4 linked regions of the Astyanax mexicanus genome follow. The protein of the gene in region 2 interacts with the protein of the main gene of each other region in a pairwise test. Links are inferred from orthologs where the notes say so. Each region holds a gene or a part of one and is shown on either strand. Other genes may lie near its edges.

Region 1 (7,444 bases), on a different chromosome or scaffold from region 2:
ACTCTGCAGGTCATGGTGAACTCTTTGCGGTGTGCAGGCCCAGACTCTTGTGTGACGGTGTATTCGGGTAAACGCCAGCCTTTCTGCACCACCAGCTCCTATAAAAAGTAGTGAAGATTCATAAATACCTCAATTTAGACCAACATTTATTGTATTAAACTTATAGAATTAAGAGACGCTGCTATTCTGAAGTTCTTTACATAAAAATCCATTAATCCCTCACCTGCAGAGCACCGACTGGATTACACTCAGCTTGCTGGCTGGAACTGGAAGACTTTATCTCTGACTGGGAGCTGTGGAACCAGTCAATGCAGTCAATAAATAGCACAAGACACAATGCCCAAGTATGTATTTTAACCAAGATTGTGCTCATTTAAAAAAAAAAAGGTTTTATTCGGACTACCAGCACAAAACTGATTTCTGGCATACCTAGATTGTATCCAGATTGATATTTAACAGCCTGGGTAGCAAGACAACACATAACGCTACATTTGGAGGTGGTTTGAAATGTGATTACAATTCGATGTGACAAACAGTGACCTGATTAAATCCAGAGTTACTAATGCCAAACTCCTCATCAAAGAGTGCAATCTGATTACTTGCAAATAACAGTGTGGACAGTCATATTTTAACTGATCTGATGTGCCTATTACAATCTCCACATAACCTTAGAGATAATATCGAGGATTAGGCTGAATATGAAGATCAAAAAACATATCAGGTAGCTCAGACAACATTACACATTAAGGTTAACTGGCAACTAGTATAGTTCTTACCCATCTCCGTCCAAGGACATGTCTATTCCAACAAACCCATCTCCCTCCATGCCGTTCTCCCCTAACCCTCCCAGCATCCCTCCTTTCAGCATCTTCAGCGCGGCTTCTGCAGCCTTGTGTTTAGCAGCCTTCTTGCTGGGGCCCTGGCCCGTGCAGCTGATTTCTCCCACAGACACGCGGAAGGTGAAATTGGGCTGGTGGGCCTGGCCCTCGGCCTTCAGCAGGTCGTACACTGGTGTCTTGCCTATCCGCGTTCCATATTCCTGCAGCAGACTGATGGGTGTCTTTCCGGGGTTCACAGCCAGCATTTGCTCAATACTAAGAACAGAAAAAGAGTGTCAGGGGTGATCTTGAGCTTGCTAATGGTGTAAAAATAGCTAATAATGTATTTGGGCAACACTATGCCCCAATCACTAGTAGATACACAAATATGTTTTACCATGATAGGACAAACAAAAGTCATCTACAAATGCTGACCAAAGGCAACAAGAATGTAAGAAAAATACAGAAAAAAACAGCCAGATATACTTTAACATACTAGTGTCCCTCATTCAATTAGAATATAATTGAAAAGTTACTTTAAATTACTAATTCAGTTCAAAATTAGAAATTCATATTATATAGATGTATTACATGGAGTGATCTATATTAAGCGATTATTTCTTTTATTGTTGATGCACTAGCAGATGACATGGCTCTCCAAACCATCAGTAAATTTTACATTTCATTTGGAAATCAAGGGACCAGAGTCTGGAGGAGGAGTGGAGACACATAAATGCCAAGATGCTTCAGCTGGTGTTGATCCACAGTGTTATACCAAGTTCAAAGTCAGTGCAGTGTTTTCTCCGAAAATCTTACAGCACGTCATGCTTCCCTCTGCTGACGGCTTTTATGGAGATGCAGATTTCATTTTTCAGCAGGACTTGGCACACTGCCCACACTGCTAAAAGTACCAATTGGTCTTCGTCTGTCATTTTTTGGGTTATAATTGGCTGTAAGCCTCATTGAATTGAGAGTAGATATGCATTGTACTATTATATTAAAAATAGCATAAATTAATACATAAAAGATAAGGTTTGGTATGGAATGGCGTAAGAACAAAAAGATGGTTTGTTGCCTGAGGGCAACATCATGCCATACACTAGAGGGTTAAGAGTTTGTTTCACTCAGGCAAATAATAAAAGTGAGTTCAGGTTGTTTAAGACACACAAAAAGATTAATTTTATAAACTGAATTAGAAAAAATGGAAGAAAAAAAAAACACATGAAAACATAAAAACGTGAGTAAGCGCATGCCCAGTGGCGGTGTTCTGTCGAATTATGCTACTCATCGGTACGTGTTTCGTAAAGACACTGCGCATGCGCTGACCCACACTTATTGATTATTTAATGATTTCTTTTAACAATAAAACTATATTTTGTGCATTAAACAACTTGGACTCACTGTCATTGCACAAAATAGTAAATGGAAATTAATAAAAAAATATAAGTACAACAATTATTATCCAAAAAATATACAAAAGCAGTTTGTAAAGACCTCTCATTGCCATAACTTTACCTTGACACAGTGATTCATGCTATCCAAACTATCCATACATCTAATGTTACTGGGACTTCTGCTGGTAACATGCTCTAATATGCTACTTACTGTTGTATTTTTTTTTACAGTTAAATATAACTACACTATGGTAGTACGGTTTGACAAGGTAGAACACTGGTTAAGAAGCACAAATCTATGGGTAGCACAACTCTGACACAACACCCAGCGTGTCTAGCCACTATTCTACCCTGAAAACAGACAATTATCAAATGCTATCACCACATGGTATGAGCTCTACTATGCACAACACTAATCTTAAACCCTGGCTAATAATGTATCTGAATATAATGCAGTAAATCAGGAGCAGAGGCCTGGGTTATAATGCTAGCTCAGCGTGTGCTAACCAGCCCAGCACTGAAGCAGAAGCAGCTCACCTGGTACACCCAGAGTTTCTCTTACTAGCCGGGCTTTTCTCGTCATTCATTCCCCAACAACAGATAGAAATCCCACGCGTTTAAGAGTGCAGAAACCCCCCAAAGTAAACGAGCCCCCCTTGATATCATTAGCTAGCAGTTTTCATGGCAGGGAAACCTGTGACACGAAAGGGCAACCCCTACTCCAGCGGTCCCACATGATCACACAGCCACAGCAGCGCTCATATCGCAGTGAAGCAGCGCGCCACAGGCCAGGGTGTCCTGCCGAGGTACGCTACCCATAAATATGTGCTTCGTAACGGCACTGCGCATGCGCCGACCCACATTTTTAAAAATGTTGTGATGTTATTTTATGATAATGCCACGATATTTTATCTGTTATAAAACTGTAAATTGCAATTTAATAAAAAATAATGGCAAAAATATTTTTTGTAAAACTGTAAAATAATAATGAAAAAATACGATTTCTAATCATCTATATGACCATAACTTTACCTGATTCAGAAATTTAGCCTGTCCGAATATTCTACATAGACTTCTGACAGGATTATTTTCTCATTTTCTGTTTTTTTGTATTTTTGCCTTTAAATATACACCAGAAACACTAGGGTAGCACGGTTTGACAAGGTAGCACAATTTGTCATAACACCGGGAGTAAAACTGATGCAGCGTTACATACATATATATATGCAATGGACGCTGCTTTTACTGCTCTATCGACACGTTTATAAGCGAGCTAATTTGACTAGATAAGTAGATAACGTCGAGTTTTTGTGTCGTATTTAAAAACCTTTACACATTTAATATCACATTACTGAATATTACGCTATCGGCCAAAGCGCCTATGTTTGAAAACAGTTTGCAACTTCCAGTAATTTTAGTATGGAATGCACCATGCGAGCGATGCCCACCAATAGCGCCACTTTTCAAAATAAAAGTTACAAGTTTAAAACAATAAAATATTAAATATATATATAAATATATATATATATATATATATATATATATATATATATATATATATATATATATATATATATATATATATATTAGTTTTAAACCCTAATACAAAAACAAAAATATATATATCGTTTGACAGGGTTAATTAAAAATACAGACTAGTTAAAGTGAAATATGTACACTGTTCCTCAATTAAAAAGTGAAGGATTTGGCCACAATATAAAAGCAGCAGATAAAAATGAAAATTATATTTTGATGAAAATATTTATTTTTTGTTAGTTGAGTAGTCCCAAACAGGGCGTATTACTCTATACCAACTCAACATCTTCACAACTTTACAACTGATGCTTTTGAAACACATTAAGAGGGCAAGAAAATCAAGTAATTATCTCTTAAGTTCAGCACAGCTGTTAACTGAAAGCCATTTCAGGTGACTGAGAAAATGAAAAGATGTGCAAAATTGTCATCTAAACAAGACCCACTAAACAAAGAGACGTTGAAACGACGTCTTTTCTAGGTCATTTTTGCACGTCCAATTTTGGTCTCCTGAAGGTGCAGACTGTGACGCCAGACGACGTCTTTTTTCTGACGTCTTCTGCACGTCCAGTATTGACGTCCCCCAGACCTCCGGATAAGGGCTAATTCTAGTTTAAATTAAGTCGTTGTGGACGTCTTTTCTACGTGAAATTTACATGTATATGTTTTTATAGACCAACTATTTTGAGGCTCCCTGCATAACTGTAGTGCCATTTCAGACGGTGGCAACTGTTCCATTGTTCCAGCTTCAGCAGATAACTGGAAACGCATACAAAGCTAAGCCAAACAATTACTGGAACAGGTTCACAACCTTCTGGAACTAGTTATGCACGTTAGTTATACACAATATGCTTTACAAATAAATTGCATTTCAACCCTCTCACTTTTTCCAAAACATGTCAACCTGCAAAGAACCAGTAAAAGCAAGGGATAAATTAATTACCCCCATCTTACCACTGTTGATTTTAAATTGACCCTTTCTGTTTGGGGAAACATTAATATAATAATAAACATAATGAGTAAATCTCATTTGGGGTTAATGCCTTTATTTTACATCAACATAACATACACCTTAGATTCACACCATAACAATTTCACTAAACATTTACCTTCCCTTAAAACTATTACAGCTTTACATTACACCTTCCCTAAACAATATTATACCTTCCCTCAACACTATTGCACCTTTACATTTCACCAGGTGTCTCAAAGTACCGGCCCACGCGGTTTCATACGGCCCCTCACGGGTTAACAAAATAAACATACATCTGGCCCGCAATTCAATTTAATTATTTATGCTTTATTATGTTCGTTTTCATATTTTATCTTAACTTGTATTTTGGTGTGTGTGTGTGTGTGTGTGTGTGTTTTTTTTTTTTGCTTACGCTGCGTTGCCTGCTTTAGTAGTCTTCAGTAGCCTTCAACAGTCTAACCTTGCAGACCTTGTGTCCACTAAACTCCGTAGTTATAAACATCCTGAGGTTAGCAGCGCGCTAACTGACCTGTTTATAATGTAATCTGAGCAGTGCCTCCGTGACGCTGCTCTAAACTGCTGCTGTTAGCTGCTTGGGCTGAAAGATGAACTGTAGAGAGCTGTATTATCCGGTTAGTGGGGTTATTTTATTTCATACACAGAAGAACTTAAAAAATTTCAAAACGCTCCAGACTGCCTCAGCTGAGTCCTGTAGCCCGTGGCTGGGCTGTAGCTCTGACTAAGCAAAGACTGCGGGCTTGTGGTGCTGCAGCTGCAGCTCCGACTAGTGGTTGGATGAGGAACTGCTAAATCTGAGGAAATGCTAAATCTGTCACAGCTCACAATTTTTGATTTTATATTTATTAAGCCTTATTTCAGTATCAAACGTTTTGATCAAAGTTAATATAACTTGTACTTGATGTAATTTCTATTCACTTGAATAGTTTGGTTCTTGATTGATGGAGTTTTTGGATTTCATAACATGACAAATTAAAAGGATTTATGTTAATAGAGCAACAAGCAAACATTTTTCCATGCAACTGTAATATTTGATTGAATAAATAGTATATTGAGAGTTATTTAACATTAAGGAGTAATTACATTCATTTTATATTACATCTGGTTACATTTTCTCATATTTATAAGTTACATCTGGCCCTCAGAGGACAGCCAATATGTCAATGTGGCCCTCGGCAAAAATGAGTTTGAGACCCCTGCATTACACCTTCCCTTAACAATATTATACCTTCCCTTAACACTATTACACCTTCCCTCAACACTATTACACCTTTCCACTACACCTTCCCTTAACACCATTACAACTTTACATTACACCTTCCCTTAACATCATTATACTTTCATTAAGATTCTAGGTCCTGAGAGACAGCGGTGTGTCCTCCACGTCTTTGTGGTGCATGTTTGAGATGCTCCGAAGTATGAAGTCCTCGGTGGCTGTCCCGTCACATTTCATGACTCCATCTGCACAAGTAGAAAAAGACAAATTAGAAATCTCAGAAAATGTTGAAGATGGCCATTTATTTTTGTCCCACAACAAACTATTTTAAATTGCCTTATTTATGTAATATTCACATAAACTTACTTCTTCACACTATGGCTTAGCTAACGCTAAGCTAACGGCGGGAATACACATTTAACACCTGACGAGAATTATCGTGCCGTTTTAATTCTCACACATCATTCATATTAAGCTATTTTAATTAATTTTTTTCCCACAACAAACTATTTTAAATTGCCTTATTTATGTAATATTAACAAACTTACTTCTTCATGCTATGGCTTAGCTAACGCTAAGCTAAAGGCGGGAATACACATTTAACACCTGACCAGAATTATCGTGCTGTTTTAATTCTCACACATCATATTAAGCTATTTTAATAAATGTTTTCCCACAACAAACTATTTTAAATTGCCTTATTTATGTAATATTCACATAAACTTACTTCTTCACACTATGGCTTAGCTAACGCTAAGCTAACGGCGGGAATACACATTTAACACCTGACGAGAATTATTGTGCCGTTTTAATTCTCACACATCATATTAAGCTATTTTAATAATTTTTTTCCCACAACAAACTATTTTAAATAGCCTTATTTATGTAATATTCACATAAACTTACTTCTTCATGCTATGGCTTAGCTAACGCTAAGCTAACGCTAAGCTAAAGGCGGGAATACACATTTAACACCTGACCAGAATTATCGTGCCGTTTTAATTCTCACACATCATATTAAGCTATTTTAATAAATGTTTTCCCACAACAAACTATTTTAAATTGCCTTATTTATGTAATATTAACATAAACTTACTTCTTCAGGCTATTCAAAATGCACTTGATATTGCCCCCAGTTGCCTAGGTTAATTGTGGGTGCCACAAACTTATATAACTTAACGCTAGCTTAGCGAATTTAGCCAAAGACGGTTCTTTGATTTAGCTTAGATTGGCTTATCAGCCTAGCTCTGGTTAGTGCATTGACTTAATGACCGGACAATGCTTCTACGTTAAAGCTTCGGTTACAGTAAATATTATTGGCAATACGGTCGTTCTCAAAAGTAATTCCAATTCCATTTTAACTATGGCCACTGTTTAGCTATCGTTAGCTAGCTAGCTAGTTAGCTAACTGCCTGGGAAGAGAGGCAACGCCAGCAGGTTCAGATGATTTAAGACCACAGAGCTAAAACAACTAACACTACAAATACATTAA
Region 2 (6,523 bases):
TGTTACATAATCATTATTGTCACTGTTAACGCTATCAAAATTTTATGTAGTTTTATTGTGATAACTGAAAATTAAAAAAAAAAAATTCCCAACAAATGTAATAATAATTGACAAAATACCCAATTTAAAAAACAAATCCTGTATATATATATATGTGTGTGTGTGTGTATTTTTTTCAGTCATTCAGATAATTGTTTAGAATGGTTTGTGTACAATGCTCTTAATATTCTAAAAAAATAAAAATAAAAACAGATTTTCTTTCCCATTTCTTAATGAATATAGTTCATTAGTTATATGACTCTAAAATCATTATATATACACATGGTGCACATTATAGGTTCTTTGGCACACCATATACTATATAAAAGTTTAAAAGCACGCAATGCAATTTCCCTATAGTTTATTCCCAAGCAAGGTATATATGCACAAGTCTATTGGTTTTAAATATTGAACAATTTTGTTGTAACACTCAATACATGCCACCAAATAAGATATACCAATGTTTTGTTATGTAAATATTTTATTCAATATTTTTATACATATAAAATATTTTGAATGTAAACATAGCTGTTTAGGATGTACAGACTCTCTGGGCCACTGTAGCAGTCATGCAACCTGCCCACAGTCAATGCTAGGCTTATTTATTAGAGGCATACCCAGCGACTATGGTACCACTGCTCCCCGCACTCAGCACAGGTCATGAAGGTCATGGCGTCCTCGTCGTTATTTCCACTCCTCACCCAGGAGGGCAGAAAGAGGGTCCCGCGGGAGACCTGGGTCACCCTGCAGTTCATGCTCTGGCAGCGGCGGCAGCGCACTTTCGTGGTGGTCGTCCCCTCAGGCTGCTGAGGTAGCTGGTGTTCACTAATAGCTGCTGCAGTGTATCCTTCCCTCAGGCTCCTGAGCTCCTCGCTTGCCATCTCCTCCACAGACATGCGGGCAAAAACCTCTGGGGTTAGGGTTCCTGTCAGAAGACCCTGGCGAAGATGAGGGTTCTTTGGATTCTTCAGGTTGGCCACCCTGCTTCTTACACAGGACTTGTACTTTGCCTGGTTTTGCCTGTGGAGAGCATGAATGTGCTGTTCAATGGCTTGAGCTAGGGTGGAAATCTGTCTTGTGTCTTCTGGGTTTGTGGGTTTCTGGTCTGGGATCAAGGCTTGGATAAGAAGCTCCACACACTTGGTTCTCACAGGTTTGGAGTCTGTGGAACTGGTAGACTGAACCCTAGAATCTTCTCCGTTGTGGTTCTCTGGAACTGAAGCTGTGGACTTGCTATCATCTGCCTTCAGTAAAAGTGCAGTGATTTTAGAAGATGGTAGATCTGAATCAGAACTTGACATCTGTTGGACATCACTGTGCTGAACTTTTGGGCCCAAAACTGTTTCAGTCTCAGCACTTGGAACAGATTGAGCCATTTCAGGTGGTCCATGTTCTTTTATTTGACTTGTGTCTTTGGTACTGCTGTGTCCTTGGGATGAGTTGTACATCCCTTTCCATTTTGAGAGCAGTTCCTTTGCTGTTTTGCGAACACTAGTTTGCACTGGACATGATTTTAATAGCTGATAAACGGTCTTGGCGATGTCAGTGGTCTGCAGCTGCTCTAATGTTACAGGACTGTTGCTCAAGTCTGCAAGCAGAGATGAAACTTCTTCATAATTGCAACCTTTTTGTAGTTTTTCTATTTGAATAGCGTAGAATATGAGCTCTTTGGTGTCCATAGCTACTGCTAGGACTCAAAACTGGCATTGTAGTTGAGCTAGTTACCCATTTCATTCAGTTTATACTTAGTTAGCCAGTTAGATGAGCTTGCTAACTAAAGCTCTCAGCCTGAGGAGATAATGTTTTGTTATTATTCTGAACAGAAGAGGCTGAGGTACGTTAAAAAAGCGGACTGTCTGTTCCCATACAATCATTACAGCAGTAAAAATTATATGTCTGATTCAATATCTGTAATCAATACCGTATTCTTTATTCAGCCTCTTCATTTCAGTTCGTATTTCTGTAGCTCCGAGCCGCCATGTTTGTTGTGATTTCTCAGAGACAGTGTTTCACTCAGGCGCTGGATGGCGCAGTTGGTCAAAAAATATACAGCTCCGTAAAAAACACTTTAGTTTCTGAATCAGTTTCTCTGATTTTGCTATTTATAGGTATATGTTTGACTAAAATTAACATTGTTGTTTTATTCTACGGACAACATTTCTTCCTAATTCCAAGTAAAATATTGTCATTTAGAGCATGTATTTGCAGAAAATCAGAAATGACTAAAATAACAAAAAAGATACAGAGCTTTCAGACCTCAAATCATGCAAAGAAAACAAGTTTATATTCATAAAGTTTTAAGAGTTCAAAAATCAATATTTGGTGGAATAACCCTGGTTTTCAATCACAGTTTTCATGCATTCATTGCAGCCTACTTTTGGATAACTTTATACCACTCCTGGTAGAAATTTCAAGCAGTTCAGCTTGGTTTGATGGCTTGTGATCATCCATCTTCTTCTTGATAATATTCCAAATTTTAAGTGGTCCTTTATTTTCAGCAACCTACTACAAAAACGATGTGTTAAAAACATTTAAAGGTTATATTTATTATTAAAGTATTAGTATTAGTTTGTTTAGGACAGTGTGTCACTGGGAATCAGTCCTACACAAAACACAACACTCAGTATTCTCTTGGGAATTGTAAAGCTCAACCCTTACAAAAAAATATAAATCGGTTTATTTAAGTGTACTATTAGTATACTTCTTCATTCATATTATAATTCATTACCACATATATATCCCAAGTATTTCTTGTTTATTTTAATATGTGTAGTCTACTAGTAAATCTAAAACTAAGACCAGTTAAAAATACCTACATCGTAGTATATCTCAGAGTGCAAAGATAGAGAGAGTATTTAACATACCAACAAACTGGTCTTAAAACATTTGTCATTTATTGTGTAAAATTGACCATTTTTATTCAGATAAGCTGACTTATACTCAACTATGTGTATTCAAGTTGGTTTTTATTGTAATAGTTTGCTTTATAATACCACTGGGGATTTATAATACAGAGGTATGTGTTTATTGGGCTCAACAATGCCCTCATTCTGACCCACACACTATCTGCTCCATTGTACTGGCTTAGCCTATGTGTTTGTCTTGTGATATCCCTTAGTTCAAATGCCATAACACTATGTCCATTCTCCTCCCTGAAGAATGAATGAACTGAGCGCTCATGACCAGCCTGACCCAAGGGACACGTCGTGTTGGTCTGGTGTGATTTCCTGCCACTTTAAAGAGAGTGAACTCCCACAGGGGGGTTGTTAATATCCTGTAGTTCATATATGACTAAAGAAGAAAGGCTCAAAACTTTACATACAAACAGTATAAAGGACATTCTTCTCTAATTTTCTCCACAATTGTAGTAACCTGAGAGGTTCAAACACATACAAAAACACTGAGAAAAACTCTGCAACTGGTTTACCTCTCGGCTCCCACCCCCTACTGTTGTAATCCATTAAGTACGTTCGGGTGTGGCTGCGAAAACCACAGGCCTTGAGAACTGAGTGGAACGTCTGGTTTCTTATCAGGCCTGGAGTCCTTCAACTAGAAGCCATTAGGCACAATTGCTTTTAAAAGCATGGGGCCTGCAGGCGTGAGATGACTAACATGTCTGCACCTCTGCCGTCCAGTCTGTACTTACTTGGGTGGGCAGCTGCGATGTCCAAAAATGAATGAATTGATCCGTTGAAAGGGCCCTATTCTTGCATTTCAGGCCTGCAAAGATAAAACTTTTACTACTTTGTAATACTCTCATATCTTTACTCAACACCTTAAAGACATGTGCAGCCTTTGCATTGTGTGCAGCGTATGGAACTGTTGAAAATGCATGGATGTCCCTGGAAAAAAAATTGTCATATAGGCTGCATCTGTTACTCTCTTAAATCTCTATGTACTTTTAATTAATGCTACCATCACAAATTTGTGCTGAAACAACCCCATGCATGACTTGTTGCTGATAACAGTCTGGATGGTCATTTTTGTCTTTTGCCCAGAGCACATGCACATGGACGGTCCATCCCAGATGCCTATGAGCCCAGAGAAGTTGACATCACTTCTGGACATGGATAACATCACGCTTTTGTTTTGCACAGTAAAGTCTTAGGTGTTATTTGTGAATGTACTTTAGTATTGCTGTGCTTGACAAAAGCTTTGAAAATTAATCCTTTGCTCATGTGGTTCTATCCACTATTGTTCAATGACAGTTCTTGATGCAGTGCCCAAGGGACTGAGGGATTGTAGATCATGGGTGTAGTGTTTAGGCTTTATGTTTAGTTGTGCAAGTTTTTGTGTGTTTTGAATAGTTAAATATATGTATTTAGCTTTAATGTGAATTGGTCCACCTCTACATTGTAACTCCATATTGAGCAGCTGTTGGGTAAATCAAACTCAAACATTTTATTTTTTCCAATTTCTCTTTCTGTAGATTGTAGATGGCCTCCTTTTTCTGTTTCTAAAAGTATGTAGGGACAGGATATAAAAAGCTGACTTGTCTTGACTTTGAGAGTCAATGAATTGGACATTTGGTTCATTGATATGAATCGGATGTCCCATCACTTTTATGCGAGTGGAATTTTACTGAGTCCACAGTTTCCTCTGTCTGCAGCTAGAGTGCAGTAGAAGCGCACAGTTTAAAGACTCCATGCTTAAATGAGCAAGAAGCATTTCCTGCTGTGCTCAGTACTTAGGGTTCATAGCTATGTTGTTAAAAACTGATCTGTGACCAACTTCCACTGTCTAAATCTGTAACAAGGCTATTGTAAACTAACTTGAGGAACTGGTCTCTGATCAGGAAAACAAGGCAACTTCTGCTAAATACCGTTTTGCAGAGTGGGAGCTACGGTCTGAAGGGTATCAATTGTTCTGACTGATTCCCTGGTGCTTCCTTCACACTACTTCCCTCATCACAAGCTAAGCTAATTGACACTGTTTCAGTGCCAGATGACAAAGAACCAGTTTGTTCTTCTCTGAGTGTGTGATTTTATTTAGTACCCTTGTTTATTTCCTCTATTCGCTTCACTTTAATTTGGTGAAGTATGACACTGAAATGTCAGCGTATTATTAGATAGGCCCGGTCTATTAAAGGCCCGGTCCATTAAAAGGAGTAGATGTTTAGACAATTCTCAAAGATATAGTTACAAAAATAGTTACACCCAGAAGGAAGTGTTGGTTTGAAGACAGACATGGACAACTCTTTGTTTGTATTTTTTAAGCTACATCTACATACGTAATGTGTAGTGTATGTTTAACGCCTGTGCATGTAGAGGTTCCTAATAATGTCCTGTGATTATGCATCCCATGCAGCTTGAATATTTTCACACAGTTCCTGCAGATTTTGTGGCAGGACTCAGGAGTGGTGTATTGATTGCATGTCTAGTAGCATCCTACACATTTTCAGTCAGGGAGAGGTCTGGTGATGTGGCTGGCAATGGCATAGTATCCTCAGTAGTGTCGTCATGGTAAACTCCTGAAATTTCAACAATATATGGACAAGCATTGTCCTGTTGTAATAGTGTACCTGAATGTGCTTTCTGAAAAAGGTTGGCCTTTTGGTTGCTGGACCTCATTTATGTAACTTTGAGCTGTCAAAATGTCTGTAATGAAGACCAAAGATGATCTGTCATCATGCAAAATTGTACCCCACATCATGACACCAGGCCTCCTGGTTGGTGATGTGTGACAACAAACTGCCATTCTGAGTCACGGCATGACAGTCTGGCACGACTGTGCGGTCGTTTGATTCTTTTAGGTCGACAGAATCTTTAGAAGCAAACTTAAGATGTTCAGCATCTACTCACTATGGACTTTGCTTGTGTGAAGAAGGGCCGGGGGCTGTGTAAATGAGACAGACAAAAACTGGTCTTGATGACCATCAAATGACTGCTTTGTAATTTATTCCTAATGCTTTCTTGCAGTACTCTATAAATGACCTGTTTCCCACATATTCTTCTCTGCTGTCCACACACATCCTAAAGTGGCTGATTTCTCTCAACACTCCCACAAGTCCTCAATGCTGTTTGAATCTGCCAATTGTGTCTTCCTGAATGACATCACATGACCTTCTTCACTCCTCAACCCCCACACTCCATTGCTTGACGGGTGCTGTGGCATCTTGCATTGTTTTGTTGGTGTATCAAGTTACTTTTAGTGTTTATCCACTAAAACAGAAGAGACAAACATCCTGCAAACATCTAGAATAACTGGTAAAGAAAAGAGTGTATGACTTGCATACATCTGAGCCAGTCATCTTGGAATTTGCATTAGTTTGACAAATAGCTGTCAGTAAGGCTGAGGTTTTGGCTGGTGCTGTGTTGCAAGTGTAAACTTGATGCAAAGGGAGAACAAAAAAGCACGAGAGAGAGATAGAGAGAGAGAGAAAGAGAAACAGGGAGAAACAGGGCCAAACTTGTTAGACTCTGCAAAACATGACAACAGCGTAAAATAGGGTGAGGTGCATTGAGATAGGCTGGCTTTTTCCTTG
Region 3 (7,045 bases), on a different chromosome or scaffold from region 2:
AAGCAGGAGACTGTGTAACACTCAGGGCCATGTGACATGCTGTCGTGACAGTCCGTCCAGACGGGCATCAATAATGTCTAAAAGCACAGAGGAGACAGCGAGTTAATCACGGACAGTCTGTCTGCGTGCTCAGACACCGGGGACGCAGGGGAACTGTCTGCAGGGCCAGTTTTTACAACCCCATCACCACCACAGAAACAAATAAACACACCACGGCTGAGGTGAGAACAGAGCAGCCGGCGTAAACATCAACACCATCACTTATCACTTAATGGTGTCATTTAATAACAGAGAAAGGCTGCTCAGCCCGATACCATCAATTTAACCCCAGAAAAAAGATACAGCTGGCCTGCCATGCTCCTGTGTCCAGTCTATTCAGTCAAATGAGGCTGGATCGTTACCTTCTAACCCTTATAATCAACAAACATGGTTCTGAGAAGAGCAGAATCCTTTTTGTAAATGACATTTAAAAAAAATATATGCACTTATAGTATACAAGTATACTATGCTAAAAAATACATGTGAGAATAAAAAGAGAATAATAACAGACCATCATATCTTTGTGGCAGGGACTGTAGCATAAATACAAAAGCACATATCAAAAAACACTTGAAGGAGAATGTCACCCTAAGCAGTTTGGTGTAAAATGCTCTGTTGTAAAGAAACCACAAGTCAGAATAGTTCACAGGAGTAGTGGTGGGCTGACCAAGCATTTATAGAGACTTATGTCTCTAAAAGCTTTTTCCTAGATTATTACACCAATGATTATGAACACACTGCCTGTCTGATGCATGGGACAATGTTTTATGCCCTGGCAAACTACAGCTATTATACCCAGTTCTTCAATTAAGGCAGCAAACCTCTGTCAAAATAAGAAAAGACCAACCTGTACAGAAATGCTAATTTCTATTAGAGCCCTACTACGAGGCTCTAATAGCATGTTAATGCGAAGCTGACAGCAGTGCACTTCAATTTTTTTGGCAGTAATATATGCTATTTTAGCATGAAATAAAAAGAAATCAGAACCAGATAGGTTGATTCAGTTCAGTTCAGTTTTGTTTGTTGTCTTGGTAATTAATCTGATGCATTAGGCATTTGGTTCTGCTTGTGAAGTCCCAACCAATACAAGAGCTAATCACAAATCCTGATTGGACATTTTTTTTCAACCAAAACATTCAAATTCAGTAAGAAGAGTACTGTTATACTTTTAGATTTTAAATACAAGCATTATTGTACTTAATCATTTATATTTAGTGACTATTTACTAATTAATTTTATACCAAATAAAATGATAGATTCTTTTAATGTAAAAAATATATATTCTAAGTCATTTTAGAGCTATTCTATTTGTCATGTGTCATTAACTGAAACAGATGCAAACTATGTCAAAAATTTAAAATGAAAAGAAAAAGATACAAGGTTAACCATGATGATACACTATGGCCTTAAAGGACTTGAAGACAATATACTATGGCTTTTTAAGAGTCAGCAGGACATGTTGTTCTAAATGGACCAAACCCGTCTGAAACAACAGTCCTTAATTAGCAGCCCTCAATTAGTCTACTGTAAACCCTTCTCACAGTTTGTCAGAGGCCCTTCCCCAACTGCAGCTAAGCCCTACACCTGAGATTACACTGGAAGGACAAGCTGTTCACTTTCAGTTCTGCAGAAAGAAAAGCCAGGAGGTTTTCCATTCGCACACAGTGATGCAGTCCGCTGGAATCCAGTGCTGTACAGGTGTGGGTTTGTAAATAATGCTGTTAGGGAGAGTGCAGCAGCAATGCAGCAGGGGCGGTTTCTGAGTCTGAGGAAACGGGACGGTGTCATTCTCTCCAAGGCTTAAGAGGAATGATAATGACTTTTTATACATCAGATGTGGCACTGTTGCTTTGTTTCAGTTCACACCCAGACAGTTTGGTTTGGTTTTAATTTGGCTTCCAGATACTTGCCCATTAAACAATCTTATACAGTACCATAATAAATGTTATATAAATTGGCACAATACCACCAATATTGAGTTCTTTTGACTTAAAAAAAATAGTAAAATATAGTGAAGAAAGAACCATCTATTATCTGGTTATCAGGTTAACACCTGTCAGTTGGTAGGATCTACATGATTCTTAAAGGCAAATAAACAGTTCTTCAAGTTACAGTGTAAAAAACAGAGAAATGGGTAGTGGGCATAAGATCAGAGACACATGATGTATGGTGATGGTTAGACCACTGGGACAGAGCATCTGCAAAACTTCAGGCAGGTTATGTGGGGTCGTCCCAATATGCAGTGGTTCAAATCTACCAAAAGGGTTCCAGGCAAGGGCAACCAGTGAACCAGTGAACCACTGACAGGGTCATTGGCACCTAGGGCTCAGTGATGCACATAATGTGCTACAGATTAGCCCATCTGGTCTGACCCCACAGAACAGCTTCTGCAACACAAATTACTGAAAAAGCACATGTCTTGACATGTCTGAGGGGCATACTTAAATGTTCTAATGTTAAGGCTGATCTGTGTTTCTACTTTTAAGAGACATTAGACTTTTATAAAGCTCTTCACTTGAGATGAGCACTTAAGTAGGCTATCCTACTCAAACCACTCAAACACTTCACGACCCCACAGGAAGAAACACACAGATAACATCACTTTGTGTGAGTGTGTGAGATTAGTTCTACGATCAAATCTGACATCAGATTCCGCATTTTCTGAATTGTAGACTCTGTATTTTGACAGAGTTCATTGTAAGCCTTGACAGACAGTTTGTGAATTTCATAAACACAACAACATGACTGGTGCTAAGTGATGTAAAACCTTGTACATGATGTTTTGTGACTCATGAGGCGGACGGGGCTGAGTCAGAGAAGCTGGGAAACAACAGCAGCCTACTACATACTGTAGGCTGACTACGCCTTTTACATGAACTCCCTCTCTTTCTGTTTTCTTTTAGTTTTCATGCTCTTAAACATTAATTTCTAAAAAACTTGCTTTGTCTAAGTGTTTTATATCAATACTTAGCTCAAAACAGAACAGCCCAAGTTCAACCTCCTTGTTTTAAAACCATCTGGAATTTAAGTTGGGGAAAAAAAATATTTACTACATTCTTATTTCACAGTCGTCATTACATTCAGTTGATATAACCACATACTTGATGTCAGGATGCCCGGAAAGGAGGAAAAGGCGTGGGCTGAGCCTCTCCATAACTCACGTTATTATACCTCTACCCGTACTGCCAATCGCCCCGCCCACTCCGCGCCGTGATTGGCTCAAGAGTTCAGCCATCACAAGCAGTCCCGCTGTTCTGGCTATGTTCTGGAAAAACAAAGCCCCGCCTCTTTTATGCTAGGTTTGAGCAGTAATTCAGAAAAACGCTTAATAACGCTGCTTTGTTTGTAAAACATTAAATTATGTATTTAAATTAAAAAAGTTGTTTTAGTTGTTTTTACCACGAGTGTTAGGATATATGTAAAGCCTGAGCCAATCGCTGTGCAGGAGAGGCGGGTCTTCAGCGCTGTGGATCAGCAGAGCAGACCCGCCGGTGTTCTGTCGAGTTGCGCTACCTGTCGATTTGTGCTGCTTTACAGCACCGCGCATGTATTAATTCTCTCTCTTTTTTACTATTTTCACGTTTTTTTTCCTGATCATTTTGTTTTTATTTGGTACATTATACAATTTAAACTCACTGACATTTTTTTGCTTGAGTAATATTTTTTTTTACAACGGTGAACAAAAATAAAAAAAAATAAAAACTATAAAACGGATTCTAATCAACTATATTTTGCCTTGGTTTTACTCTGATACAGCTCTTTCGGCTATTCAAATATTATATCGATGCCTTTACAGCGAGCATGTATTAATTTTGTGTATTTTTTACCTTTAAATACACTATGGTAGCACGATTTGACAAGGTGGCACATCTCGACGGAACACCGGCTCATTCGTAGCGCAGAAGAGGCGTGGCCTGGCGGAAAGCGGGTAGGGGGAAAATGACGTCCGGGCGCCTGCGTCAGACGCCGGGAGGGAGTTTTCCACAGAACACAGAGCCAGTCTGGCTCAGACAAGGGACACGCTTCAGCACGGACGGACCTTTAACATCCACACACAATAAAACAAATCAGATCCAGTAGAACGGAGGCTTCGCGCGCGGATTCGCTTTGTGGATTATTAACACTGTTTCGTCTACACGCCTTTAACTGGAGATATCACTAATGGTGATCGGATTCGCTAAGTCTTGGTGAGTGGTTGTTATAATATTTTTTTTAATAAGGCTTTTTTTTTTGCTTTATTCTTGCTTTTTAAAAAGGCGTGTTACTAATGTCTAATAGCGAGATAAATCATAGCGGATCATAAGATGGTTTGGGTCAGTGGAATACGTAAAGAAATTCCTTATAAATAAAATAAAATTGTAACTTAGCTAGATATAGTAATAATAAAAACAGTGTAGCGTTAGCTGGCTTTCGTTATTAGTTGGTGTTTAGTTTGTTTTACCGCTGTTTTAATGTCACAGATGATGATAATGTTGATGTCGAGAAGGCGGTTCTGTGGTTTAGTTATATAGTTATAGTTAAACTGGAAATGTTGACTCATTTGTAGTTTTGTACTTTTTACGTTGTGTTGGTTGTAGTTGATTTAAGTGTGTGAACAAGCTGGAGCACTGTACTGTCCCCTGCCGTGGCGAGAGACTTCAGCACAACTACATTATAATAGCTTAACTAAGTTCTTCTGTTCTGAATATTATGAATGTTATGTTAACGCTGGCTAGGTAATATACCAGTCTGTCTGAATGTCAGCTCTCAAATAAATTAAAGCAGTCTCTGGCTGTGTGTGTAAAAGACAGCGGCGATAATTAAATGTGTGTTTGAGGAGGATAGGTATATAGATGCCTGTGGTAAGTTAGTGAAACGAGAGCGACTCCTTAAGGTAAGTAAACTACAGCCTGCTGAGACTGATATTAAACAGAAGGGGCAGCAAACTGACTGATTCACAGCGATAGAGCTGCCCTTTAATTTCCACCGGCACCTAGTGGCAGACTCTGTTTCTGCCTGCTGTTAAACGCAGTGCTTTAGCTAATAATAACTACATTAAAAGAGGGCTTCTTCGGGTTTAGGTAACTTAGCTAAGCTAATTCGCTAGCTTACTAGTTTATGTCTACGTTTATGACCGTTAAAAAGGAAGCAAGACACGGCTAAACATAACATAAACTAACGTTATTAGGTTCCAATTTTCTTGTTTAACATTATATCTTATGAATAACTAACGACAGTTACTTCGACATATTTAGCGTCAACTAGGTTTAGCTAATTTAGCTTTTTAGCTAATTGAGACCGTGAACAGCTAAGCTAACTAACGTTAATTAACGTTGTTCACGTTAATTTAAATATAGCGATTGTTTAACTGTATAAGCATATTTAAAACCTGCAAATGAGTACATTTAAGTTTAAGGTATTTAAGATAACCTATTGTTAATAATAAATAAAAAATGAAGCGTTAATAAAAGCTATGATAAAAAAGTATAGCAATATAAATTACATAAGCTAACTATATCTATAAAATATAGGTATATAATGTAGGTACGATTAAGCAGCTTTAATTGACTGCATTAATCTGTTTTATACATTGAAAACCAAAATAAACAATGCAAGCTTAACTACTTAACTAGTTAGCATCGCCAGAAGAGTGTGTGTGATTGTTAGCTAGCAATGCAAGATTAACTGAAGTCACGCTGTGAAAAAAAAAAACGTATTCTGTTTGAAAGTAGTATTAATATTTAGTCTAGTTTATCTCTTAGCTGAACTTAAAATAAAGGAAAGACCTACCTATCTATCACATATAATTCAGTGTAATTTAGAAAATTCCCCTGTGTCCGGGGCTCCCAAAGTGTCTTTGTAGTGAAATTTCACTTTTGCTTTTGTTCTAAGCTTGTTCTCTTGACACTCCTACTAACCTGTGCCAACAGTTGCTGAGCAATTTATCTACCAAGAGGGGTATGATTTCCCCTTTGGGTCTTTAGATTCTTGCAATGGTTCTTTGTGTTACTCTTAAGGAAGTAAATCATTTGCTTCTTTGCAATGATGTAAAACTAAATCAGCTAGAATCTGTATAGATTGTTATGTGTCAAATTTCATCTTAAATATATGGATGAAATATCATAAAGGAAAAGTGAGTCTGTGCCAATCCAGCTTGGTGGTGTTATCTGTGTGTTTCTTCATTTAAAGCACTTCAAAACATTCTTCTAAAGGTGAAAGATCAGGGCATGATTTCAGTGTTGTATTGAAAAAGGTGTTTTGGTGGTGTCTTACAGTCTCTAATACAGTAGAACACTTGTATTGTTTAAGGAACAGCCTTGTTAGGTGAACTTGTGGGGCCACCTGGCCAGGTAACCTCAGCCAGCAGTAATGAGGTCAGCACTGCAGTCGCAACTTGCCTCTGTCTCGCTCGTTTCCTCCTGTTTGCACCTGAAATACACAAACAGTCAAGACCCCATGTGCGCTTCCTAGTGGAGACTTCTCATGCATCACAGCATGCAGGGTATTACACAAGTCCAGAACACTCAACTGTGCTATTTGAGTTCATCCCTCTCTGTCTGTCTCTCTCTGTCTCCCTCTCATGTGCAAAGCCAGTGGCCACATTGTTAATCAGTCGGCCTCCTCAGAAGCCAGGACGCCCCTGTTTTGGAGCAGTTCGCACACAGTGCTGAGGCTTTTGTGTCGAGGGGATGGAGGGGGTGGGGAGGCTGCTGCCTCTAAGGCTGTAACCCATGGGGTCCCATCTGTTTTGTCAGTCTTCAGCATTCCTCCCAGCTTGTGAGGTACCAAGCAAGTGTCCCAGACCACAGCGTCCTGTCTCTTTTTCTCACACACAAACACACATGCACACACTCCGGCTGACCTGCTCCCTAGGGAGGCTCTTATAGCAATGGGATGGAAAGCCACTGTCTGTATTTTTATTAGCTTTTATTAGCCTGGCTAGAGTGCTGAGCAAGTCGAGGGATAACATTGAGAAGTTAATGCGGAAGGCATGCTTTGCCCCAGCTTTGCATTTCAGATATTGATG
Region 4 (8,025 bases), on a different chromosome or scaffold from region 2:
TTACAATTTAGAAAGAAAAAAAAAAGTATAATTTGGGTATCAGTACCGAATTCAAAGTATTGTATCAATACCTGTATCAATAATTTTAAAATTACACCCAGCACTACCTAAGCTAGGCAATTAATTTAAATCTAATCTAAATGTAAGTACCATTTTCCTTACTAGAAGCATTGTAAAAAAATACATCTTGATAATGCATTTTGCGCAAACAAACAGTCCTTCAAACTTTCTTTGTGCCAAAGAAAAAACTAAAAACTTGTGACATTACAATTAATGTTTAAATAATCAATTAAAATAACTGTTCATTAAAACACTTTTCTAATAATATAATTGTTCATAAATCCTAATTAAGGTAAAATGTTCACTTTGCTCACTTTGCTTTGTAAAGCTTTGCTAACAAAAAGTTTTTAGCAGTGTTACATTGCCAAAATTTCTTGAGGCTTTTTACTTTAATATACCTCTTAATTATTGATTTACACAGCATCAATCTCCGGTCAGTTAAAGACGCTTAAATTGTGTTGTGCTTGTATGGAAACTATATGTTATGTTTTATTTATTTATTTTCTCAAACTGAAGTGAAAAATTTCTTTCCACTGGCACTTCCACATACTTCCAGATTCCCTGACATCACTCCAAAAACCGCTTTCTGAAACCTTTAGGAATGCTTGGCTTTTCTGTATAGCGAATATTAAAACATTAACATCTTACTTCTTTCAGCTTGTCCACATCCTGTCTGACTTTCTGATAGAGCTCATTGGCAGCTTTGAGTTTATTGGCCGATTCCTCCAGAACTCTCGGGTCAACGGCTTCAGTCTCACTTTGAGAAGAGAAGCAGGTGCTGGGTTCCAGAGCAGTCTTCAGTTGCGTCTCGAGGCTCAGGTTTTTGCTCTTCAGCTCCTCGTTCTCTTTCAGTAGGGTTTCAATTTCATCCTGAAAGTTAGACCAGTGATCCAGTGAATCAGACTGGGTGCCTTACATAAGAAACACTTAGCTGGTGTTAAACAGCTAAAAGAAGAACTAAACTCTATGCAGATCAGTATTTAATAACCATTTCAATCAGCAGATCAGAAACTTTCTATAGCTCTTTTGAAGGACAAATAAACACAGAAATAATCAACTATTAAAAAATATATAGCCGATTATGAGACATTTACTTATAAGTATGTAAAATTATACAAATTAAACTGAAGTACCAGGTGCATAAAAAAGCAAAGCATAACTTTCAAACCTCGTATTCTTGCAGTATTAATTCCCCACGGGTTTTTCTGAGATGCTTCTTAACTGAGTGGCTTTCGTTTGATTCGCTGTCATCATTTGTTGCTCCTATTATCACATAAAAAAATAGATAAATAAGACAGTTTCAATGCAGTGGCAATGTAGAGTAAATAAATGTTCAATAAACATAATGTGTATACTCTGGTGTAACTGATGCACAGTAGCATTAGCATGCATGTAGAACTATTTGAATGATGGGATTGCTTAATAATACTGCCATAATACTGAAGATCCACTTATGTAAAGGAGAACAATGCTTACAAAACAAAAACATACAGGGTTCTGAACATATTTAATTTACCATAAAACTTGATTTAATTTAAATTTTTTGCCACTAAAAAGAGCAGGAACTACAAACAGGACTAGACATGGCAGGACTTCAGTGGACTTCCACAGCTTGTTACCTATGATTTCTTTGCATGGGTTTTCAGGGGTGATGGCCACTCTGCAGGTGGGACACTGGCTACATTTCTGAAGCCAGACGTCAATGCAGGTCGAGCAGAACACATGATTGTTGGAGCAAATCTTGGGTTTGCGAACCTGTTGAGAGAAGACAACTGTGTGAGTCCAATAATAGTAGTTATTTAAATTACTTATTCTATTATAAACATACATACATACATACATACATACATACATACATACATACATACATACATACATACGAGAAAAGACACTGCAGCTGGGCAATATAGCCAAAATCACAATTCTTAGATAGCATTTCTATATAATCTGTGATCAGACAACTCTGTGGCTGTTTTAGTATATTAAACCACATTTTATTTCTTATAACTGGTATCAACAGGAACAAAAATAATATAATATTGTTAATAATATTGACTTTATTTTAGAGTACAGGTTAAGTAAACTAGCTAGTGAGCTAAGGTTTTCATATGTTGCTTTTTCGTACACTAAACCATATTAAGTCTTATATATTCCTTTTATATTGGAAATATGTATTTATTTCCAATTAGACCAAAGTTCAACCTTACAGCAGTAGAGAGCAGCAGTGAAGGATACTTACAAGAGCAATAAATAAGTAAGCTAGTTAGCTAAGTCAGGTTTTCCTATGCTACTGTTTTGTACAAATACTAAGTCTTTCCTTTTATATTGGTAATATTTAATAATAATTAGGTTTATCCTGTAATATAGAGCAGCAGTAGAGGAGTGTACTTACTTAAAGTAATAAATAAGTTGGGTTTACTGACTGTTTTAACTATTAAGTTCATTAAGCTAAAGTACTTTAGTAGGTTAAACTGTTTTCAGGTCAGGTATTAGCCTCTCCGCACCACACTAAAATATACACAGAGCATCAGAGCAAGAGGTTTAAAGCACTAGCCAAACTAACCAACGAATAAAAGCAGAAACTAAATATAAAACATGAAAACACTTTAACAGTTTAATAGTATGTTAGTTATCTGTTATCTCTTTTTTTTCCGGAGTTCAGTATATGAGTCTGGGTAAGTGAGGTGAGGTGAAAGCAGGCAGAACAAAAGCAGCTCCTGCTTCATTAATTCAGTAATCTCACTGCATTAGTTACCTTCCCCAGGCAGATCTGGCAGGAGATGGGCAGAGTTAAAGACAGGGTAACGCTCTGGCAGGTCTGCGCCATGTTTCAGTCTCTAAAACAAACACATGCAGATTAAAACCCTGTAAACTCCGCGCGTTAGGAGAAAACACACACTCAAAACAGCGCCGGTAACCGCGCTACGGCGAGCCGGAGGAACCAAACGCGATTCAAAATCTCCACAGGAAGAGAGAAGCCTGAGCTGAGCAGCGCTGGGAAATAAACACACACCCTGCTACGGACTTTTGGGTAAAAAATTAAATGAAAATAATATTAAATATATATATATATATATATATATATATATATATATATATATATATATATATATATATATATATATATATACATATATATAAATATTTTAAACAATTGTGCATAAATATTTATATTTGTATATACACAACAGGCATATAAAATGTTTAGAGAAAACATTGGAAGCTAGATAGCTAACTAACAAATTAGCTAGTGGTTAGCTTAGCAAACAAATATTAAGAACATTTTCAGACGTTCCTTCTATTTTTGTTATGTCAAATATATGTAACTTATATAAAGAGAATTAAGACCTTAAAATTTAGGTTGCTAAGTTGCTAAACTCATAAAAATAAATAATATTAAAAAATAACTAAAATAACCTGTAACCTGAAAGTCATTTCTCACAGAGTCACTCTCACAGTTAAAAGCAAAGCTAACCCAGCTACTGTAGCCAATGCTAGCTAGCTACTTCAGCTAACTCCCAAACACCAGCTAATCACTCAAGGCTAAAAGCTAACCCGGCTACAGCTTGTTAACAGCACTATCCACTAAAAGGACACAGGGAAAGGACAACAAGACTTTCTGGTAAGACTTGGGAATAATTAAACTGTATTTTTGTTACAGTGTGAAGACCAAATGCAGGATTTTTGAGTTATCAAAATAGTGTGAACCAGTCAATATAAGCTAAGCATACACAGTACCAGTACCATTATTTAAAAAAAATCAGCATTTTAAATTAAAATCATTCAAACTATGAGAAAGAAATTTAAAAAACAAAAAAATAATAAACCAACCAGATTTTGTTTTATATTTTAAATACTTTAAAGTAGCACCTCTTGCTTAGATATCTTGGCGTTATGAGGTAGTCACCAAGCTTTCATGGCTTTCAGTTAACAGCTGTGCCCCATCAAGGGTTAATTAGGGTTAGGTTTTCTGGATGTGCTTAGAATATTTTTGTGTTATTGTATTTATTTTTAGTTTTGAGTATTGTTACATTTAACATTTCCATAGCATTAGTGTTCATCTAACTAGAAACGTTATGTGAGAAATAATTTAATAACATTGTGCTGCAGATATTATTATGTTACATTCTCATAACATTCCTGGAACTTTTAAGGTTTAAGGTTCAACAACCTTGCTAAACATTCTTATAGAGCGCTTTTCCACCAAAAGAACTCTGGTTCTTGAACCAGTTCCGTTTGGGCTTGTAAAAACCATTAGGTCTGTTCGGTTCTGAAATTTATTTTGTTGGTGGAAACGTGGCAAACAGTTCAAAATTAGGTTTGGGAACCAGAGTGGTGTCAGTTTTACATCGATGGAAATGCGTTAATATGTTCTTTCTTAGCTGGGAATATCCTGCCTTTTTTAGTCCACCACTGGTGATGTTACAGTCTGTGATTCCACTGTGTTCTTTATCCACCATAATGAATGTGTTCCAACATGGAAAGTTTAGCTGAGTACAAAATTAGTGTTATTAAGCACAGGTGTTTCCAACCCTTATATCAGGAGCCCTGGAGGGCACACCTGATTCAACTCACCTGTTAATTGGAAAGTTTAGCTGGTGTGTAGAGTGAGGAAACCAAACTGAGCTGGACCCCAGCCCTCAGTTCTCTACCCATGTTCAGTACGGTCCCTGTGTCCTAAAAAGCTGTCTGGCTTGTATCCTTATTATACTATGTTCTGCAGCCCACACTAGTGTTTCTTCCTCTCACTCATAGAAAGTCTTGGTACTTCTCAGCGTTTCTTCCTGATTCTCACCGGCAGTTTCTTTCCCTCTCTCCCTCGGCGATGCTCATTAGAAAAGCCACTTTGGGCTTTTGTGTCCTACAAATAAAACTGAGCTGAATTGAATTGAAAAACTCATTGCCAAATGGCAGAAACATGCTGTGGCTTCATTGTCTTGTAGTTTAATGGCAGTGCATCTTAGAGCCCTTGTGACCTAACCTGATTAGAATTGAACCACAGGGAAACTGTGTTGTACATTGATTGCAGCATAACGTTGATGCTGGAACTGCATTACTGCCATTTATTGCAAGTGTTTCATTTCAACACACCATCCACTACTGTCTAACCATAAAACATTGTGTGGTGTATGTCCTACAGACAAGTCTATGTCCAAGCAGATCACTATAGGGCAACCGCAGGACGCCAGTGGCTTTTCTAATGATATTGGCTCGGCTTGCTTTGTTAATAACATGAACTGGACTTGCATTGAAAGGTTGGAGTTTTAATGGTAGTACTGTATACCAAAGTATTAAAACATTTTAACGGATCTCCAAATGAAGATAGTATTTCATACATATTCCATATTCATAAATGTCTCTGTGTCTTTATTAAAAGGCCAATATAGCTTTTTTTCATTTATCTGCTTTTAAGATGACCATAGGATGGGTGCGCCCTCTGCATGACAAGAGTGTCCAAATGTATGCATCTGTCTAATTTGCTTGTTCATCTGCTATATGATACATTTAACCAAAATTGCTGACCCAAACAACCAGTGATTTATAAAGGAAAATCATGAAAATGATAAGGGGTGCCCACACTTTTTCGTACCACTGTAACACCCACAGTATGAGTCTTCTGTGCAAGTGAAAACATGTCAACAGTAACTTCAGACACAAGAAAACTGCACAGAATGTGTCCTCTCTGCTTCAGAAACCCAAACTACACCAGTATATAGTTGTCGTTTTAAAAATGCATGCAGGACATTCAGCAAGATATGAAATAATGTAAACTTGAGCATGAAGAAATTCCTGACCTGTGTTGAGTCAGTATTTCTGCTCTTGAGTGAGTCAGCATTGTGTATAATGCATGAGGATACTCTACTAAATTCCCTGAAATAAGTCATATGCCATTACATATACCTAGGGGTGTAACAGTACACAAAGGTCACAATTTAGTTCACACCATGGTTTGGACTTTACGGTTCGGTACAGGTACAGTACAATGGAAAAAAAAAACATAAAAAAGACAAGACTAACAGAGGATTCTTTGGATTTATTAATATAATTTTAAGAGACAGTTTTGCAAGTTACAGTTTGTTCCATCTTGTGCCATATGCTGCTGCTTATGACACTACTACCGTAGTTACTGTAAACATGGTGGTATCAGAATGACAAACTCAGTTTTCATCTGCTCAATCACACAAAATTTGAATTGAAGAGAGCTGGCAACATAAAAAAGACTTAATAATTTCCATCATGCTCTTTGCAATTACACATTCTCACCAAAACGTATGAACTGTTGTTTAACGCAGTGTAACAATGTAAATATTAGCCTCGACCAATCCACCATGATTTCATTAGTGTAAATAAGACATTAAAGCCGGAATATCAATGAAAAAAGCTAACCAAAAAGCTAACAACAAAATCGACTAATAAATTATGATTGTACATTGCATAGACTTACTTTTTTTATTTTATTCTTATTTGGTCAGACATCATGTCCCACACTTTTCAAAAGTGGTGGTCTTGTTACGGATTAGCAGAACTATGGAAGTCATTTAAGAAAAGCCTCAAACATGCAGTATCTCTGTGTTGTGCTGTTAGTGACATCACAGTAATGGGAATGCACACATGCACACTCATGACAGACACCTAAAAGCATGATGTTCTCGTAATGCCTCAGAACTTTAAAGCAGCAGTGATTTCATACTTTACAGGAACTATGATTCATCCCAGTGAATCATCACCTCAGATGATGCCATGTCTCAGTTGTCTCAGTGTTTAAAAGGAATATTCCGCTGTGTCCTGCCTGACCTCGCCACCTTTAATGGTGATGTTTTGCACTATACTTTACTTTGGACATCCCTCTAGAAATGAGACCATACAAACAACCCATGCACCTTTTTGGAATTAACAAATTTGCATATATTACACTTATTACAAATTTAAAAAATAATGAACGTGGCAATTTTATATCTTGCATAAAATTGTTTACTATCTGAATATTGATATATACTTTACATTGCCCAGACCTAGTTGGAGTATAAAAGTAAGTGTTTCTTTAATAATTTCTGTAATCTTGTGTTTACTTTCGTTACAAAAACCTTATGAACATATTTTTATGTTAAAGTTCTTTACATAAATTCCTTGCACATGTTGGACAAAAAAACTAATTAAAAAAAATTCTAAAAACCTCTAGTGTCTAAATAAAGAATAGTCAACGTTCAAAATATTCCACAATCTTTCCTAAGATCATATTTCACCCCCTACATGCCTCAGTCCAGTGGTTTGTAATCGTTCGCTCATTAATTGGTGACAGTCAATTAATCACAGCTGGTCGAGACTCCAGCGTCTATTGATTTCGTCCTGGGCCTTATTTTTCATCCCCTAAATGACACAGATCGGCAGATTTAGCTTGGCCGGGGTAATGGAGGGTGACCCGAGCGTCCGGCCTGAGCCCCCATTCCACGCGTGCTCTCACACACACACGGCGAAATGGCATCTTTACCATTTAGGCTGGAAAGGTTTAGACTGCCTTAGAGCAGAGCATCGGGGAGAAGCCCGGTTCCACCGCTAGCCTGACCTTTTCTGTTTAAAGCTTAATCACTGACAAATGCTTACATTAATTAGCCTTCTATCCCTCCTTCCTTCCCTCTGTCCTGCCCCCCACCTGTTTCCCTGCACACACACACACACACAGATACACACAGATAGGGACACGCTCCGCTACCTCTAGTCTGGTATGTTTTTCAGTGACTCTGGCTGAACAGGATTAGCTTAGCATGCCGTGGCTGAACTCTTGTGGTGATTTAGACATTTTGCCCCCACCCCCTGCAGGAGGAATGTATTGATTAGTGATGCCCCTGATGGAGATAGCTGTGGAGATGGAGGAGAGTGCCATGGCGACTCGCTGTAGCAGTGGGACGCTCACCTAAGCTCCATCACCTCTCTGCAGGGTAGAGTTCAGGAGAACAGCAGCTGCTG

The links.
Region 1: the proteins of transcription elongation factor A N-terminal and central domain-containing protein (region 2) and tarbp2 interact in binary tests that used the Homo sapiens proteins (3 or more experiments, as listed by UniProt). The two-hybrid records come from large-scale screens. The link is inferred for Astyanax mexicanus from reciprocal best matches to the Homo sapiens genes TCEANC and TARBP2.
Region 3: the proteins of transcription elongation factor A N-terminal and central domain-containing protein (region 2) and csrnp1b interact in binary tests that used the Homo sapiens proteins (3 or more experiments, as listed by UniProt). The two-hybrid records come from large-scale screens. The link is inferred for Astyanax mexicanus from reciprocal best matches to the Homo sapiens genes TCEANC and CSRNP1.
Region 4: the proteins of transcription elongation factor A N-terminal and central domain-containing protein (region 2) and obi1 interact in binary tests that used the Homo sapiens proteins (3 or more experiments, as listed by UniProt). The two-hybrid records come from large-scale screens. The link is inferred for Astyanax mexicanus from reciprocal best matches to the Homo sapiens genes TCEANC and OBI1.

What each region holds. Positions count from the first base shown.
Region 1 is NC_064412.1:10,608,642-10,616,085, forward strand, and holds the start of tarbp2 (RISC-loading complex subunit tarbp2), read right to left. Parts: upstream 3,007-7,444; 5' UTR 2,800-3,006; coding exon 2,750-2,799; intron 1,095-2,749; coding exon 777-1,094; intron 294-776; coding exon 224-293; intron 99-223; coding exon 1-98. UniProt on the Homo sapiens protein: Required for formation of the RNA induced silencing complex (RISC). Component of the RISC loading complex (RLC), also known as the micro-RNA (miRNA) loading complex (miRLC), which is composed of DICER1, AGO2 and TARBP2.
Region 2 is NC_064428.1:21,510,141-21,516,663, reverse strand, and holds transcription elongation factor A N-terminal and central domain-containing protein, read right to left. Parts: upstream 2,033-6,523; 5' UTR 1,986-2,032; coding exon of another isoform or gene 1,961-1,985; 5' UTR 1,719-1,960; coding exon 645-1,718; 3' UTR 503-644; downstream 1-502.
Region 3 is NC_064408.1:94,696,110-94,703,154, reverse strand, and holds the start of csrnp1b (cysteine/serine-rich nuclear protein 1b), read left to right. Parts: upstream 1-4,025; 5' UTR 4,026-4,226; intron 4,227-7,045. UniProt on the Homo sapiens protein: Binds to the consensus sequence 5'-AGAGTG-3' and has transcriptional activator activity. May have a tumor-suppressor function. May play a role in apoptosis.
Region 4 is NC_064412.1:53,333,125-53,341,149, forward strand, and holds the start of obi1 (ORC ubiquitin ligase 1), read right to left. Parts: upstream 3,014-8,025; 5' UTR 2,888-3,013; coding exon 2,816-2,887; intron 1,816-2,815; coding exon 1,680-1,815; intron 1,324-1,679; coding exon 1,229-1,323; intron 931-1,228; coding exon 709-930; intron 1-708. UniProt on the Homo sapiens protein: E3 ubiquitin ligase essential for DNA replication origin activation during S phase.